3 linked regions of the Yarrowia lipolytica genome follow. The protein of the gene in region 2 interacts with the protein of the main gene of each other region in a pairwise test. Links are inferred from orthologs where the notes say so. Each region holds a gene or a part of one and is shown on either strand. Other genes may lie near its edges.

The links.
Region 1: the proteins of YALI1_F39108g (region 2) and YALI1_D20768g interact in binary tests that used the Saccharomyces cerevisiae proteins (3 or more experiments, as listed by UniProt). The link is inferred for Yarrowia lipolytica from reciprocal best matches to the Saccharomyces cerevisiae genes UTP18 and CKA1.
Region 3: the proteins of YALI1_F39108g (region 2) and YALI1_F19192g interact in binary tests that used the Saccharomyces cerevisiae proteins (3 or more experiments, as listed by UniProt). The link is inferred for Yarrowia lipolytica from reciprocal best matches to the Saccharomyces cerevisiae genes UTP18 and UTP6.

Annotation. Positions count from the first base shown.
Region 1 is NC_090773.1:2,074,870-2,078,415, reverse strand, and holds YALI1_D20768g (uncharacterized protein), read right to left. Parts: upstream 1,626-3,546; coding exon 606-1,625; downstream 1-605. Other genes in the region: YALI1_D20784g (uncharacterized protein), read left to right, coding at 1-160; YALI1_D20758g (uncharacterized protein), read left to right, coding at 1,860-1,920, 2,551-3,546.
Region 2 is NC_090775.1:3,909,184-3,913,230, reverse strand, and holds YALI1_F39108g (uncharacterized protein), read right to left. Parts: upstream 2,432-4,047; coding exon 653-2,431; downstream 1-652. Other genes in the region: YALI1_F39128g (uncharacterized protein), read right to left, coding at 1-390; YALI1_F39106g (uncharacterized protein), read left to right, coding at 2,552-4,047. UniProt on the Saccharomyces cerevisiae protein: Involved in nucleolar processing of pre-18S ribosomal RNA and ribosome assembly.
Region 3 is NC_090775.1:1,917,570-1,921,306, reverse strand, and holds YALI1_F19192g (uncharacterized protein), read right to left. Parts: upstream 2,013-3,737; coding exon 606-2,012; downstream 1-605. Other genes in the region: YALI1_F19216g (uncharacterized protein), read left to right, coding at 1-482; YALI1_F19180g (uncharacterized protein), read right to left, coding at 2,456-3,253.

The DNA.
Region 1 (3,546 bases), on a different chromosome or scaffold from region 2:
TTCTAACTGCCTCGCAACACCCAAAGAGGAGCGTCTAGTTGCCACCTACATCTGCGTACTTCTTCCGCGAGTCATTGAGCATCTTGCTCATCATCCTGCTTCTCCCCAGCTAGAAGCCACCCTGCGCTCAGCTCTGAGATGGGCTAGAGCATACTCTTAGTTCACGATGTTGACCTCTCGCTCAACTGTGAAACTTCACATTGTCTTCAGACGTCGTCAACCACCTATTTACCCTCGGCCATAATGACTGCAAAGTTGTCAACAAACTGTCATGACGATAAGTTTCTGCTCAGCCTCTTTACAGTCGCCTACATTGTCTAAGAATATTCCTTTTATTAAAGTACCGATATACACCCTTCAATGACTGTCTCTTTGAGCATGAGTTGAATTAATGTTTGGTCCAGTGGTGACAGAAATGTTGGAGTCACTGGAAGTCACTGAGTCATAGCTTAGCAAGCGCGTGTAGTGCAAGTTAGCTCATTAATACACGCGCTCAAGACTGGTTGGCGAATCGATGGGGGGGCCCATGTGTCTCACCTTTGCTCGCTCGCGGCCGTTGGTAGACGACCCAATAGAGCTGCTCGTCATCTATTCCTGCTCGCCATCTATTCCTGCTCGCCCTCTTCTCTAACTCTGACGGGCTTGAAGTAATCGTGCGCCATGGCCTCCTTGGCAGTCAGTCTCTCCTGATGGTCGTATCTCAGCAGGTTATCCAGTAAATGTATCGCTTCTTGGCTAATGTAGGCCTCGTTGTCCACGTTGACAAACTTGCTCCAGGGTCGGGCGGGGTAGGTTCCAATGTCGTCGTACTCGGCTCCGAGCTCAATATTGTACTTTTCCAGATAGTCCCAGAGCTTTTCTGTTCCCAGCACCCGTGCGATTTTCACCAGCTGGTCCGTGTTGGAGGTACCATGGAAGAAAGGCTCCTTTTTGAAAATCATGGAGGCAAACATGGCGCCGTAGGACCACAGGTCCAAGGAGTAGTCGTAGAGCTGGAAGTCGACCAGCAGCTCGGGTCCCTTGAAGTACCGCGAGGCCACTCTGACGTTGTATTCGGTGCCCGCGTGGTAGAACTCGGCCAAGCCCCAGTCAATGAGGCGCAGCTTGCGCTTCTCGTGGTCAATCATGACATTGTGTGGCTTCACGTCCCGGTGCATGATGCCCTTGGAGTGGCTGTAGTCGATGGCCTTTAGCAGCTCGTACATGTAGTAGCGAATGTCATAGTCTGTGAATTTGGGGTACAGCGCCCGGAAGTCGAGGTTCTGCACGTGTTCGAAGATGAAGGCCGGCATTTTGCTCTGCGGGTCTCGCACCGTTTCCAGCAGCGAGATGATGTTGGGTCCTCCTGCGAGATTTTGCAGAATCTTGACTTCTCGCTTGATCTTCTTGCGCTTGACGGGCTTGAGCGCCTTGATCACCACCAGCTCTTTGGACACAATGTTGATGCCCTCAAACACCTCCGAGTATTTGCCTCGGCCGATTTTCTTGATGATTTCGTAGTTGTCCTGCTGACCCCATTTGAGCGCCAGCTTGTCGTAGTCCCAGTACGATGGCGGCATCAGGTTGTTCACGTCCGCGTACACTCGGGCCACCGACTCGGCGGCGATATCGGAATCCACGTCCATGATGAGTCTTTAGACGAATGAGGAATGAGGAAAATGTGTCGATGGAGACAGAGACAATTCACAGTCGTTGATGGGTGGGTGGGTGTATGAGGATGGGTATTGGGAGGAGTGTGGCAAACCTTATTTCACATAGACTCTTCTGTGAGTAAGAAAAATGGAGATTGTCACCAGGAACAGAGGCAGTCCGACCTGAACAAGACCCTCGAAAACGACATACAGTGTGCCACTTTGATCATGGACGCCTTGGTCAACCAATACATGGCCGCTACGGGCAACGCCGCAGGTATCGCTGATTGTGAGTATCCAGCTTGGAGTTTACGGTGGAGGGAGTGTGCGACAAAGGTGTGATGGACTATAGATCCACGACCCGACGGAGATAGAGACTGGATAGTGGTAGGAGGGAAGAAGGAATGGGAATCGACTTTTGGACACGTGTTTATAATTCTGGATGTTGTTGCCGCGGCTTTTTCGCCGCAGATGTGGCGGTGGCGGTGGTGGTAGTGGTGGTGGTGTGTTCTCTGCCTTATGATCCATCTAGGTCTAGACCAGAAGATGATCGAGATTTGATAGAGATGGGCTAAGTCGATGAAGGATGAACCGTTGACAGGGAAACATGTGCTTTGGTTGCTTTTCTTCTTTCTTTATGGTCGGGAAGTTGTGGTTCAGCTGTTATCTGAGTCATGCGGGGTAAGATATGATCTGAGGTGATCTAGACCGGTCCATGGATTGACTGGGTTGGTTTGGGTGTCTGTTTGGTGTCTGTTCGGTGCCTGTTTGGTGTCTGTTCGGCGCCTGTTTGGGTGCCTTCCAGTGGCAAGTGGTAATATCGTCTCTCTGGTGCCCTACCCTCGTATCTTGATCATCATCTCCTCCCACTATGCCCCGTCTCTTCCTTCCCTACAACTACCGCTTCATGCTAACACAGTGATCACCACGGACCAGGCTAAACTGGTCGATCTCGTGCAGCTGCTCGGAGAATACCTCGTTGACGAGTCTGCCAAAACCCGACAGACCGCCATCCAATGCATCTCTGACGTGCTCAAAGATCTGCCTACTGACAAACTGACCAAGCAGCAACTCACTGTCATCTGCGAGTTTCTCAGCGAACGTCTGGCCGACGAGCCCGTCACGGGCCAGGTTCTCGACGGCATGAACGCCGTGGTCACCATGTCGGCCATCAGCTCTCTGAGCGTCAAAAAAATCGTGGACAGCCTCGTCGGCTACTACCTGCCCTCTTCACATGTGCAGGTGGTCAGATACAAGGCCTACGTTCTACTCCGATACTTGACTGAGAATAAGAGCCAGTCGCTCAAAAGCACTGCTTCAGCCCAGGAAGGCTTCATCAAGTGTTTCCTGACCTGCACCAACGGCGAGAAGGACCCCCGAAACCTGCTGGAGTCCTTTGCTATCAACGAGTGGATCAGCAACAACCTGACTGTGCCTGAAAACGACGTGGAGCCGCAGTTTGACGCCACCTTCTGCTACTTCCCCATCACCTTTAGACCCCCCAAAAATGACCCCTACAAGATCACAGCTGATCAGCTAAAGGTGGCGCTCAGAACCGCTCTGGCGGCCGGAAAACAGTACTCCAAACTCATCTTCCCCGCACTGCTGGAAAAACTCACCTCGTCGTCGTTATCGGTCAAGGGAGACACTCTGGACACCATTGCAGCATGTATCGCCAACTACGGTCCGGAAATCACCGCCGAAAATTGGAAGGACATCTGGGACGGAACCAAATTCGAGGTTTTGCATGGAAGCGAACCTGAGCTGGCAGGAAAGACCCTTACTGTTCTAAAACGTCTCGCAGAAGAGCTGCAGAAGCACGGAGACCAGTCACAGCTGGATGAGTACCTCACAAACGTTGAAACTGACTGCATGGACAAGCTCAAGGACCCCACAAACCGTCTGAGCACCCAGG
Region 2 (4,047 bases):
CAACAGAGAAGAAATAACGTCGTCTCCGAGCTGCTGAGTCACGTTGAGAGACTTGAGATGGGGGCAAAATTGGGTCAGCTTGGTGATCACCTTGGACACCTGCTCACACAACTCTCGCGTGGGAACCACAATCAGAGCAGTCTGGATATCCCGTTTCTCTTTCTCAGCTCTCAGCATCAGCTCGAAGATGGGCAGCAAGTAGGCCACCGTCTTGCCACTACCAGTGACGGCCTTGGCTGTGATATCCACGCCCTTGTCCAGAGCCAGAGGAATGGTTGTGTTCTGAATGAGAGTGGGCTGCTTCATGTCGCAGGCAGCCAGGCCGGACAACAGTCTGTCATCAAGGCCGAACGAGTCGAAGGACTTATCCTCCAGGTCGGGGGTAGTCATTTTTGTAAGTGGTGTATGAGTATGAAATGCGTAGGTATACTTTTTGGCAGAATAATTTTAAGGTACATGTCGGGCAAAAATATTTCGATAGATGAGCTTAAGTTAGATAGAGTTTTTAAACGGACTGTGCAACTAATGTTTACTAAATTACTTCGAAATGTAGGTAAAAAGTACTCAGTCGCTCCCCAACTAGACCCAGTATATACACTTACCCTTCTACTCAGATTCTCTTATAAACATCTTCTAATATGCATCTATACTATTAAAGCTTGTAGTGGGCGAGCTGGAACATTCGGACTCTGCCGTTGGTGGCACCTACAGTCAGGTACTCGCAGCTGGGGGAGAAGGCCACGCTGGTGACAACTCCCACAGAAGTATGTTGAGTGGGCCAGTTCTTGAACACGGTGAACGAAGGAACATGGACCAGCTTGAGAGAGTCTCGCTTCTGGTCGGAGGCCATGGCAAGCATCTGTCCGTCGGGAGAGAAGACTAGCGACGAAACGGGGGTGGTTAGGTTAGAGAGAACCGCAGTGGGTTTCTGGGGCACAAAGGGGCTTTGGCCCTTAGCAATCTCCAATGCAAGTTTGGGTCGGTTGTAGACGTTGACGTAGCCGGACTCGGAGCCGATAGCCAGCCACTGGTTAGCCTTGCCGCCGATAGCCAGCACCGTGATGCCAACTCCTCCCTCGTCGGTCCAAGTAGCTGTGAAAGAACGGCTTTCCACGTTGTATTCCCACACCTGTCCAGCGGTGTTGACAGCAATAATGGAGCCACCGTCCCACACAAAGTCGGCAACGTCGCCCTCAATCTTACAGCCGTCGATCCACTGTCCAGAGGTAGCCGACAGAATGGCCAGCCAGCCGTCCACTCCAACTACACAAAGGTACTTTCCGTCTGGTGAGAGCTTGAACTGCGCAAAACATCGCACCTTGTCACCATGGCCGTACAGATGTGCCATTCGCTCCACCTTTCCACTCTCAGCATTCCAGATGTACAGATGCTTCTGCTTTCGGCCACCAGCATACACTCTCTGGCCGTCGGGGTGGAAGGCCACGTGAGCAAAGGGAGTATGTCTCATGAAGAGCGTGGTGACAACAGGGTTGTTCTTGCCATCCACCTGGTATAGTCGCAGAGTCTTGTCGAAACCTCCAGTCAGAAGCAGAGAATGTGTGGGGTGGAAAGCGAGACCCTCCACGGCAGCTCGAGAAGGAGCAGCAAAGTTAACGTCCTGAAGTCGAGCAACCTCTATTTCGCCGTGTCGAAGCAGTTTGGACTCCTTGTTGGAGTACTGGGTGACTCGCTGAAGCACCTCGCTCAGAGAAGTGCCTGTAAGCACGTCCTGCTCCTCCTCATCGGACCCCTCAGAGTCGTCCTCATCGTAGTCCTTCTTGGCCTTGGCCTTGAATGCATTAGCAGCCCAGTCGGGGACCCGGTAGATCTTTCTATACTGTTCTCTCAGCCGTCGCGAAAACACCTTGCCGTTAACGTAGTCCTGGGTCTGCGTCTTTCGCAGCTTCTTGAGCATACCATCGTGATCTCCCACCAGCGAAATGTGCACGTTCTCGTCGTCCGAGTCGGCCCATGCGGCACGTCCTCCGTGCTCTTCTAGAGTCTCATCGAGGGTATCTGAGTCCATGGACGAGTCGGAATCGTCGTCAGAGTCGTCATCAGAGTGGTACTTTTGCCCGTCTCCTCCATCAACAAAGAACAACTGGTTGTCCTCCATCTTGTTAAAATCATTCTCGTCATCCGAATCATGGGAATCGTCGGAATCCTCCTCCTCTGCCTCTTCAAGCGCAATGTTCTTGATACCCATCTCAAAGCCCTCTAGATCTCCAAAGACGGCCTTCTCCAGCTCCAGCTCCTCCTCGTCCTTATCCGGCACCTCGTCATCAGAAGAGTCCACGTCCATGGAGTCCTCCATATGCTCGTCAATGTCCACCATGACTCCTTCGGTGGCGTCCTCTAGCTCTTCCAGTGATTTCATTTTGTTGTGTGTAGTTTCGATATGTGTAGTGGTATTATTTTTTTGAAGTCCCATTTACAATCTGCTTAATGCACCCACCCTGAAAATATTTATTTAAGCTCCAGAGCCTAATAAATTCCTGTATGCAGAGTAGGAAATTTCGTGCACCCAACACCAGACCCAGATAACAACAACATGGCTGATATGGAAGTGAGTACACCGGCTAAATTGACTCGAGATCCACCGCTAACACAGACTACAGCATCGATATCGCGTCATCTGCGACGCAAGGGCGTGCCTCTGGTGCAGATTCTGCCGTTTGCAAACGAAATTGTAGCCGGAAACCTCAACGTCTACTTTCCCCATCGGTTGTGCGCAGTTTTGCAATGGTGGATGGACAAAATAAGCGAGAAGACCGACTCTGCCAAGGAGGCTCGAGCAGACCCGGCATTCTGGACGCTATTCATCACTGTGTGGGAAGACATGGCCAAGGATCTGGCCATGCCAAGAGAACGAATCTACAGAAACAGCAAGTTCACAGAGATCGTCAGTCTAGCCATCAAGGAAAACATTGAGGGCTGCTCCGTTCAGCTGCTGGACGAGATCACCACAGCCGTCAACAAGGTGTCTCGGTCGTTAGCCGTGCAGTTTACAGAGAGTGCCGCTGTCGAAATCGCAGGAGACTACCTCAAGACCCTTACAAACTTTCAGAAGACCGGGCTGCCTGTGGGACACATTGCTGGAGTGTCTTCATGGACTCAAATGATCCTCAACTTTTTGGAGCGGTCTTCTCAGGGAAGTCAGGATATGCAGAAGAAGTGTCGAGAGGTTGGATCGTATCTTCCCTACATTTTCTATCTATTGGACGGGGAGGATCTAAACAAGGACCTGGCACATTTCATCGATTATCTGGTCACCAAATTCCTGTTTGATCCCGAACACTTCCCCATCACTGGTCTGTATGCCTTCACTACTTTTGAGGTGTTGAGCTTCTCCACTGAGGCTCCTGTTCGAGGCTATGCCCACATTATCAGACTGGGAGAAAAGGTGGCTGCTACTATGCCTGGAACCACTGGTGAGAAGGATCTGGTTGTGCCTCTGGTCAGTGGTCTAATCCAGAATGCCAAGCAGTACACTGTGGAGCTGCTGGATCAGTGTACAGAGATGGGCTACAAGGTGGAAAAGAGCATTTTGGTGAGGCTTTTCAACGAGGCTGTGCCTACGAGAGAGGCCTTTGCATTGGATTGGCAGGTGAACAATGAACGAGATTGGCGTCTGATTGCTGCTTTGGTGCGACAAGATCCTTCACTTACAGCTACTTCGGTGTCTTTGGCCAAGGATATCTCTGATGGTCCTGATAACGAGTACACGAAGTCGGTGATGCGAGGTATGGCTACGGGATACCAGCTCAACAGCAACATGTATGACTTCATCATCATCTGGGTGGATGAGATGGCCAAGTCTAGTAAGTGGAGAGACCCTGGTTTCCTGCCCTATGTTTCTGATCTCATTGCTAAAATGTTCCCTGATCAGTACTACGATGTTCTGACTCATTGGACGGGGAAGGTGAAGGAGGAGCAGGGAGATATTGCTGTCAGAAACAACCAGCTTTATGCTCTTGTTGCAATTGTCAATGCTCTTCTGTTTATGAAGCTTGAGGCGTCTTTTGACGAGAAGGTTTTGAAGGTTCT
Region 3 (3,737 bases), about 2.0 Mb from region 2:
GCTGCAGACTCAGAGCCTCCAAACAAAAGAACAAGAACGTGCTCTCAGAGCCTACAACCTGGCTTCCGTTGACATTCACCATTCGTGGCCACATTCAGGAGTCTCATTTGGACATCGACCCGAAGCTCAATGCCGTGATGATGTACTCGCGAAAGACCGAGACGCCTGTGGTAGCAGCCGCGTTTTCCAGAGGAACGGAGACCGAGAGATACAAGAACGGTGATTTTCTGCCCCTCCAGCTCTCTGTTAAGTGGTATCCCGGTAGCAACAATAACGAGGTGTTTACCCTCCCTGCCAACCCTGACTCCAACTCCGCTTTCTCTTCCACCACGCTCATGTGGTGTGCTGCAACCATGATCGCTACTGCAGCTATTGTGACCGTTGTTTTTCAGGGCGTGATTTTCCCACGAAAACTGCGATCAGAGAACTTCGGAACTCCCCTTCCTCGTTTTGCTGACTGGGGAAGCAGCAAGAAGGACTAAACATGATATAGAACAGTAAATATACCAAATATACCAAATATACCAAACATATCAAAATATTCTAAATATAGCTACTTATATACAGATGCAGTTTGCGTGTGTGTAAATATATATTAAAGATGCTTACATATCGTCCTCGGTCTTCTTGATGACGGCCTTAAGCGCTCGCTTGAGGTTCTCGTCGATCTCTCTATCAACAGACTTGCCAGCTGTAAGGTAGTCCGCCAGCTTCTCCTTGAACTGTGACGCAATTTGCTTACGGACTTGCTGTTGTCTCTCCGATCCCTTTTTCTTCCAGGTCTTAGACATGGCGACATTGTACTTGTTCAGAGCCAGCTTGAAGGCCTCAGGGAAGGAAGCATCAAGAGGGGACAAGTACCGCACTGAGAGGGTGATGTCATCCACCACCAACCGAGCAATATCTGCGATAGCACTCTCGGTGAGCTTCAGGGATGCGGACCCAATGTCGTTGTTGATTTGTTGCATGACAGCCTGGATGACATGTGCACAAAGGTACTCTCGGTCCATATCCTCAAACTCGTCAAAGAGCTCGAGGAACTGTCGTGAGAAAGACAGCAGGAATGCAAAATGAGGTGCAAGAGCGACTGTAAAAGATCCATCGTCATTCTTGAGACCAGTGTTGATCTCTGAAGAGTACCTAGGGATAGTCTCGAGAGCAGAGTCGAAGATTGCAAGAGCAACATCACCTCGAAGGGCAGGGTTGGTGGAGGGGTTACCGAGCATGTCAATATCAGCCTCAGGAAGAGTCTTGAGTTCAGCCTTGATGTCATCGTCACCATCAAGCTCAGGAAGGGCAATGACGTTTTCATCGTCAACTTCCTTTACTTCCTCAGCCTCTCGCTGCTTGTCTCTATCAGCAAGGATTCCAAGGAGCTTTCGTCGAGTCAGGATCTTAGACACATACAACAGCTCCAGCTTGGTGTATTCTAGCCAAAGCTTTTTGCTCTCGGGGTTGAATCTCAGACCTCTCTGGAAGACAGATCGTGCTGTCTGTGCTGCAGAGTTCTCATCAAACTCATGCTTGGCTACCATGATCCAGATGTCAGCCCGGTTGGGGAAGAGCTTGAGCATGTTAGTATGGACAGTCGACAGCTTCGCCATCATTTTGTAATGCTTCAGGAAAGCGATGTGCTGCTTCCACAGGTCAGCATCGCCTGCGAATTTCTTGGTTCCTCGGTCGAACACGAAATTGATTCGCCTTCGGCCGGCATAGTCGGAGATGTTTGTAGGGGTAGGCATGTTTCTGTTTCTGTTTTTCTTGAGCTTGGCAGCAGGATTGTTTCCGAGTCTAGCAATCCGCTTCATCCGAAGAGCCTCCAGATTTATTTCAAAGTGGGCATACCGCAAAAAATCTCGAGGCCGAGACTGTCTTCCGGTGATTCTGTGCTCGAAATCGGTTCGCTTACGCACAAGCTGAGCAATCTCTTTTTTGGTGAAGAGTCCTCGCTGTTCAAGGTCTTCGAGCTCAGGAATGCTCTGTTCTAGGTAGAATCGTACTTGGTCGGACATCCTGATGCTTGTGAAGTGGTTGGAAATATATTTTCTAGAGTTCCAAAATTTCTACCATCCTGCAGAACAACTGAACTCTATTTTGTATTTAACCATGTGTGCTGATTAAGCATGACATCGCAATAAATAACACATACGGTAGGTACGTGTCGGTAACTTATTGTTATGCCGTAGAGAAAAGGCAAGTTCATTGAATCAGGACTTAGTTCACTTCCTCATTTTCGAGAAAAAACAAACTCTCTCACAATGGTATTTCAATCTTACATACTGTACGTCCAGTTGTGTTGGTCTTAGTATCTATTGTACAATGTGCACGCAGTGTCAACCCTTGATCGTAAATACAGGAAGATTCCTTATGCTATATGAATGTAATAAAATAATATGATGGCACCAATTGGATGCCTATTTAACTGCGCGACCTTGAATATTCAGGTACGGACCAACTATCTGCCGTAATCCTTGAGGACACCATCCAGATGTGTGTTTGTGATCTTGCTTCGACGGGGCTTCTTTTGTTTCTTTGAACCATTCCCGTTGGCCTTGTTGCTCTTGATAGTGGCAGGATCCACAGATGTAGGCTTGAGGCCAGCCTCTTCCAACTTCGACGGCAACTCGGACTCATCGGGGACCTTGATCTGTGACCACATTGACCGGAACTCTCCATCAACCATGCCGATTGGCCCACCCATATTAGCCCACATCATTCTTGGTGAGTTCTCCTTCTTGGTACGGAGAACAATCAGATCTCCGCTCTGCTCAAGCTCTTCGATACTGTCTAGACAATCGGCCCAGCCGTCCTTAAGATCGCGCACGCTGAGACCCTTGGCTGTAGGTTGAGACTTAAGAAATGCCATGAGCTGTGCCTTGGTACGGATATTGAATTTGGGCATGTACTCAAATCCCCTCTGGACAGCGTTGTAGGACATCTGGTCCATCTTCTTCAATAGGGGCACCAAGAAATCAGCGCTTTGCAGCGACAGGTATGATCGAATGTTCTCGATCGGAACAACACCAACCTGCTTTTTGATGTACTCCACAGCATGCATCAACTGTGTAGCAGCGTGGCGGCCAACGTTCTCATTGAAGGGGTTCACGGGCGGAACCACCTTACGCTTCTTTTGTTGACCACCAACACCCTCCTCCTCCTCCTTGCGTTTAGCCACAAACGACGGCTTCTTGATCGTAGGCGCCGATTTGATCTTGTTTTTAAACGCAGAGAGCTGGTTGTCGAGGGAGGACATTTTGCGGTGGACTGACACAACTGTTCTCGTGAGATTTACAATATGGGCATGCTGATGAATAGGTTAAGGGTTTATTTCCCGATTTGGACATCATTGGGTACACTATGCCCAGACAGTCGGCAATGACTGTTGGGAGAATTGGTAGTAGGGTACGCATAATTTGTGAGGCAGAGAAAATTTCGGTTACCCGGTCGCAAACCGAAACACATATATATACTTTTCCCCCAGCACTTTTTTTCTCCAAACAAACTCCGTTTCTTCTGATGTCCGAATCGAGATGCTTGCACGTCGTGGCAATAGGGGGAGGCGGAGGAGATTGACAAATAACAACCTAAAAACCATTGCTGGAGAGGCGCCCTTAACTGCTGGCGCTCATGATACAGTGATGACCTGAGGCGTGTGACATTCTTCTATGTAATAATGAGGTAGAAATATCACGCATCGTGGCAAATTATGGGGGCTCTGTTCCAGCTCCTAAGTTTCC